2 linked regions of the Tribolium castaneum genome follow. The protein of the gene in region 2 interacts with the protein of the main gene of each other region in a biochemical or structural test. Links are inferred from orthologs where the notes say so. Each region holds a gene or a part of one and is shown on either strand. Other genes may lie near its edges.

Region 1 (3,143 bases), about 11 Mb from region 2:
TCAGGCAGTCCTTCGTTAAAATGTGTATTTAAAAGATCGCGACATGAGCCAAAAGCCATCAAAGGGCTCACAACACACACTTCATGCAAATGCACAAAGGCCACAAAGTACTTAATAATGTTTGGGTGCTGGAACTGTTTCGTCAAAATGATTTCTCTCTAAAACAGATCAGTCATGCAGTAGCACTTCAGGGATGGTTTCACACCTCGACCAAGTGCGCTTCGTGTTTAATTCGGTCCATATTAAAGCGTTTTATGGTGACCATGGTGCCCGAAATTTTGTGTTTTGCCAAGTTGACCACTGCCATTCCTTCGAAACATTGGCCCAGAGTTGATATTGTCTCGTAAGCTGATATGTTTGCCTCATAATTAACCATTTTAGCGCTATTTTTTAGTCACACTATAAACAATTTTTTGTGACATATTTAAATTTGAAATGACCTAACCTAAAACTTGACCATTCTGACGTTTGGTCCGCAAAAAGGGGCAATCAATCGATGTTTGGCAATAAATTGTAAAACACTCCTATATTTCTTAAAACAGTAATTGAATGTAATGAATAAATAACGTCTTAATTGATAATTCACAAGCTTTAAAACAAAGCAACTTAACCTAGAAAGTGACAGCTGACGTTTTATTTGACATGTGCTAGGTTTCATGAAAAGGCCATTTCATTTTGATTTTTTATTAAAAGAATAAATATGTTAACATGGAAGCCTTAACTAGCATAAATCACAATTCTTCATTAATTTTCTTCCCACAAATGGCCGATTCTTCAACACACACCTTTTTGTCTACGTCCTCTGTTCCACTTTGGAAGTGTTTGATAATATTTTCTTCCATTTCTTCCATAATGCCCTCACACTAAAACGAATAAATCAGTCCAGCCGAATACCTAAAATAACGAGAAACATACGTAATATTTCAAACTTTTGTTTAAATCGTCATCTTGAATTAAATTCACTTCAGACATGTCGTTATTCATTTTCCCATCTTCGGTAATTAATTTCAACAAAGTTAAAGTTCCGTTCGATTTCCACGTCGCCCTTACATAATCGTCCATTTTCGTACAAATATCTTCGATCATTTCGGATAAATGAACCTCAGACTTGGCTTGAGAAACTGATTTGTGTCGATAATTGCCATCAGAGTCCAGTCTATAACCCCCAACGTCGACGGTTTTGGTTGGATCGATTTTATTCACAGCTTTGTGTAATTCGTCTAAACTAACTTTACAAACTGGAAATCATCACTAATTACAAAACACCATTACAACAAAAATCATTCATTCTTTACCTAAACACCTCAACTCTTGAGCATCAATTTTTTGTGCTTTTGTGTTGTAAAAAAAGAGTGTTACTAGAACTAGCGTTATTTTCATCTTATTGTCAGAACAATTTTGCACTTTTTCGGAATAAACTGGCAAGAATAATATTTTCGCGGCTCGCTTTCTTCAAAATAAAACTGGTTGACGTTCATAATTTTCTAATGACACGTTTCTACCTTCTGATTGGCTAAATTGGGCTTATGCTGATAGTGATGGCTGATAGTATTTGCTCCAATGGTATTTCCCGTAATGAAAATTATTTGAACCGAAAATCTTTCACAGTTATAATCCCGTGGTTTTTATAATGTAAAATTAAATCGATAAAATACATAACCAAACGGTCCAATAATACAGTTAGTTTTTGTAAGAATTATCTAATTGGGAATAATAATTGGATTAATTTGGGTTGAATTCTAACTAATTGGATGTTTCTGTTTTTTACGGTAATTTTTTACAAGTTTATCAGAAGTGTATTGGAGCCGTTTTGACTCGGAGCACAAACGTGACCCCATTTTCTTCAATTATTTATTGTCTGTCATAGAATAGAAGCACTGATTGAAGTGGGCAACCCAAAATACAATAAACCAAGTGAATTTATTTTTTTTTCAACTCTTATCTTTCTCAAAAAGCTCAAAAGCTCTTAAATATTAGCATATGGTATTTGTTTCAAGTTTCAGATTGCTACATAATTTTTTAAATGGAATTTATGACCTGTTTTAAATTTCCAATGTTCTCCATGCATCACTGTGTGTGTGTGTGTGTGTGTTTTTTTTTGATGTTTTGAATCCAAAAATGTGATTTTCAACTATTTTTATACACTCACTTCAGTTATTATTATTTTTTTAATTTTTCATTGTGGTTCTTATTGCCGAAGAGAGTGACTAAATTAATAATTAGTAATTAAAATGTGTCTTCTTGAGGTGTGTGTTATGCAGTAATGTTCACTGGATGTATATTCAACATAAAGTGGATTTATGAATTAATTGCATAGACAAGTTTTTTACTTGTTTTCAGATTTTTATTTAATTTTATATTTTTTATTAGCCTCTGCAGCCACGTAATCATTGGCACGAATACTTTTAGAAATTGTTTAGTTGATTAATTTCTTGTAGGTATAATTATTTTTAATAGTAATAAAAATGTTTAGGTGTAGTTTATTAATAATAATTAATAGACACAAAAAGAGTTTGAATCTTGATGTCCGGCTTAATAAGATTAATAACAGTCAGAGGTCAGTTTAAAACTTTTACATCTGCTACACGCTCAACTAATCCGAAAATGGGCACTACATTGTTCTTTGGCGGGTATTTTTAAAAATCGATAACAGCGCCACTGTTCTCTTCACATTGAACTATCAGAGCAAGCATCAAACAAACCTTTTACGGATCAGACAATTGATTCGAGGGGCGGTCGCTAGTATCCGAAACTGAAAAAATCCACAATATGACTAAAGTGTAATTTTTCTGGAATTGGGAGCTCATCCTGTGGCACGTCGTAATGTTTGTGTGTAGGTTTTGTGCATTTTGGTGATCAAAAACTTGAAAAATTTGAAAGTGGGCAAAGCGACCAACCACCCGAAATTGATGGACTCGTCCAAACAAGCTCGGAGATTTGAAGCAGCCAGTCAGTCGACAATCGGTCATCGTTTCGGGTGGTTCGGAACAGAATGTGTCAGAATTTTCTTTTGATGAATTCTAGTGTTTTCCAATTATTTCCCAGTGAAATCAGCGCGGATCGGTTGCAATTGTACGGTGCATCCCCGGCACCAGTCCGCACGGAAGCGCTTTCCGCGAAAGAGGCTTTTGTAAGGTGAGTGA
Region 2 (3,838 bases):
TCAAAATATCCATTTATTTTAACACAATAAAAGAAAAATGACACTCAACATACTATGTAGTAAATAATATTCATAAAAATCACTTGGGTTTAATTTTATTAAAATAATGATTTTTGTCCAAAAACAAAAAAAATCAACGAAAATAGTAACGAAAGTTTTCTCTACAGCATAGCGACTACCGAATTCACTAAAAAAATGGTCTGGAGTGTTTGAAAGAATTATTTTGCAGATCTGGAAATGTATCATTAATTGCCTTTCGTACAAGGATAACCTTCCTGTCCCTTTATTTCTTTTTTTTTCTAATTCTCAGCAACGGTTATAGGTGTAAAATAATTAAACCATTTCAATTCCACTTACCTTTATTAGTAAATAAGGAAGGTTTTTTTTGAAATAAAACAACATAAATAATTATTGTAATTCCATGTTGACGTAAACGTGAATAGCAAAAAATTTAACAGATATACTCGTTATAATACTAATAACAAAATACTTGTAAATATGTGACATATACACGTCTACACTTTACTTTAACATCGATTAATAAAATTTGATAGTATAAACGTAAACTTAATTTTCCAAATGAATGCAATATCACAAAACAAAAATTTCTTATCACACATTTCTCATTATAATACTAGCATTATAACATTTTTATTATATTAACAAATATCGAAACTAAACCTAATTTACATCTTGCATTGATAATATGACTATTAATAATTCATGTCATTTACATTTCGATAGCTTTTGCATTTTCTTACTATTGTCAATAGTTAATAAAATACAACACTTTAGGTCCTTCATACTTTACATAGTAAAAAATAGTATGTAGATAGATACTTAACAATGTACAAAACAAACCTCAATATGAGATTTTGGTTAACAAAACATCACAAGAAAAGATCAAAAATTATACGATTGTCACTTGTGTACTCTGTCCACTTCCACAACTAAACTATTCGAGATCTTAGTAAAGTAAAAATGCAGTCTTTCAATTCGTAGTCTGACCCACCAGGAGGTAGTCAATGGGCAAAAACACCTTCTTCGCTTGTGCGATGTCGGAACGACAAAGGGGGCACCTGTCGCAGCGCGAGGCGCACGCCATGCAGGCCACCCCGTGCCCGCACGGCAGGAAAATCGCGTCGATCTGGCCGTCCATGCAGATTTTACAGGTCATTGCGTCCAGAAATCTCGACAATTTTTCTTGGGAATTCTGGAAAAAAGAAGGCAAATTAAACGTTAGTTTAACGCCAAGTAACAAAGTTACTTATACCCGCTGAAGAATAATCCTTATCGTCGTGTATAATACGACATTTTTTCTATAGCAGAACTTCAAGTTAAAGAGGAAAAAGTTATTGTTAAACCGTTAATCTTTCAAATTCATGTGATGGAATTTTTAAGTTTTAATTGAGTAAAACAAATTTAAAACATATTAGCTACCCTTGCAGTGCAGTGTAATGTATATAGAAATTAATAGTAGTCTAACATCTGCTATAGAAAAAATATACTATTTAAATAACAAAGCTGGTAGAACTTTGATTGTTACCCTACCTTGCACTCTCCCGCGTTGCCGTTGTAGTCGAGATTGGCGCGAGTGATTTCCTGAATAGTGTTTTCCAAATACAAGGCTCTTCTTGCATTGTCGTAGACTTCTCTGCAGGTCCTCCGAATATCGAACACGTACTTTTTGCCCAATGTGGAGTCCTCGTTGAAAATTGAAACAATGGTCCCTTTCAGATCTCGAATAAATTGTGCCGTTACGGCACTGCGAACCGTCTCGCAGCTGTAGAAGGCGTGTTTTTCCGTAATGGCCCGATATAAGCTACTAGCCACATGGCTAGAATCTAGTTTAATATTTAGAATAGCCCCTTCGTTATCGATGGTCAAATATTCAAGTTTAAAAGTGCGCTTATGGGAGGAAGCACTCGTTATGTTAGTGAACGAAATCAACTCCTTCTCCCCGTCCTTTTTGTAAATCGTGATGCCATGAGGGCCGATCCCGTACACCGTGTTGTTATTCTGGTGATTTTTCACCGTGAACGTCTCCTCTCCGAAATTCTCAAACTCCGACACTTCCTTCAAAAACCAATACTCGGCGGAAGAGCTCTTCATCCCTTTGCATTTTTTGTGCTCGTGGACGATCCTCTGTAGCAAATCTCCGGGTTTCTCCGACTGATCCAAAGGAGCGATCGTTGTAGCTAAATTGTAAATATTCCGAGGCGGATCAAGTTCGTTGAAGTCGCCACATTCAGCTTGAGCTATAAAAGCGATCAGTCTTGAAATGCTGGCCCAGTCCGGGGCTGTTAAGCGTTTTTCCAACAGATGAAGTCTCGCGTTGAGGTAAAACTGGTGACGGGTGCTTTCTTGCTGCAAGATGTGAGGAGGAACCCAGAACTTCACCCGCAGTGATAAGCGCAGATAGGACGTATGGCCGTGAAAAGTCACTTGCCGATCGATGGGGTTTCGTAAATTTAACCAGGATTCCTCTCCCTTGTGGTTTTCGTACTTCAATCCGAAGTAATCAGACTCGTATTGCACATTCACGAATTCGCACACCTGAAACAAACAAAACACGTCAGATATTCGATTATGAAAATTTGTATTGTGCCTGTTATGGCCGCCAAGTGTGCGGAAATTTGAATAATTTTATGCTCTGAATGATAATTATGGATGGATTAAGCAACATTTGACTCGAGCTAACTTCACTAATTCATGGAAATTTAATCTCGAGTCACTCGTTTTTAAACTCGAATAAAATCGATTGTGTAAATTTGTTTAAACAAAAAATCCTTGATATTTCTGCACCCCACTTCCTTCATTTATTATTTATTTTTTATTCGCATGCAGATAAACAGCTCCATACAACAGGAAAATATGAATAAACTCACAACTTTTCTAAAATTCCGTTTCAGTTTATTTTCAAACTAATATAAATTCAAGAAACTTGTGACTGTATTTCTCATTTACGAAAATAAACGAAAAAGATTCGCTTTGGCAAGCAAACTGTTTGGAAAATTTCGAGTTCGGATACAAAGATCAGGTCGGTCACTGTAACAAATTACCGAATAAATTGGGTCACTGAATACCTCACATGTTGACTGTCACGTTTTTCAATAGAATAATAATTAGGAACTATCTTAAGTAATAATGATCCACGGTCGCATTATAATGCCCCCATAATCGAATAATTACGCCCACTACGTAAACCAAATATTTCCAAACATTCCAAATGCAGATAGAGTGAGCTAATCACTAATCACCTGGTAATAACAATAAATCTCTCATAGCCCAAGCTATTTCAAAAACAAGAATTCAATTTTGAAAAAATGACAAAGCTTCAAAGGAAGACTCACTACAACTTCCAATTTGGTTTGACAAAATAAAAAAATAAATAAAATAAAAAAATCCAATTATTTTAGTTAATTCTGAAATTAATACTAATTCCAGCTAATTACACAAATAATTCACCCTGTATTTTTTACATTAGAAGAATAGCATAACAAAATATAGATTTAGCAAAAAATACAATTAGCTGGGGCAATATTAACTGTTTGTATTTAATATTCCCGGAAATTTTAAGCTCTGCTATGAATAATGGAAAACATAATTAAAAATCGCTGAACGGTATCCATCGAAAATTAAATATTTGTTAATTCCCTATAAATTGATTGAGTTTGTAAATTTCGAAAAACGTGAAAATCGAAACATATAAACACCTCTAATTCTCTCAAATTAGAGCTACAATTTCCTAGTAGTTAATTTAACAGTTATTCGAGATTTTCAGGATTTATATATAAATTCGCAATGAATCCTGGAACGTTGATGTATGATGTTTGCT

Evidence for each region.
Region 1: the proteins of dnr1 (region 2) and sel form a complex in vitro, tested with the Homo sapiens proteins (2 studies listed by BioGRID). The link is inferred for Tribolium castaneum from reciprocal best matches to the Homo sapiens genes MYLIP and CNPY2.

The regions. Positions count from the first base shown.
Region 1 is NC_087396.1:24,663,858-24,667,000, reverse strand, and holds sel (protein seele), read right to left. Parts: upstream 1,597-3,143; 5' UTR 1,381-1,596; coding exon 1,296-1,380; intron 1,239-1,295; coding exon 916-1,238; intron 864-915; coding exon 732-863; 3' UTR 669-731; downstream 1-668. Other genes in the region: STE20-related kinase adapter protein alpha, read right to left, coding at 1-158, 206-376. UniProt on the Homo sapiens protein: Positive regulator of neurite outgrowth by stabilizing myosin regulatory light chain (MRLC). It prevents MIR-mediated MRLC ubiquitination and its subsequent proteasomal degradation.
Region 2 is NC_087396.1:13,981,214-13,985,051, forward strand, and holds the end of dnr1 (E3 ubiquitin-protein ligase MYLIP), read right to left. Parts: intron 2,557-3,838; coding exon 1,552-2,556; intron 1,214-1,551; coding exon 992-1,213; 3' UTR 406-991; downstream 1-405. UniProt on the Homo sapiens protein: E3 ubiquitin-protein ligase that mediates ubiquitination and subsequent proteasomal degradation of myosin regulatory light chain (MRLC), LDLR, VLDLR and LRP8. Activity depends on E2 enzymes of the UBE2D family.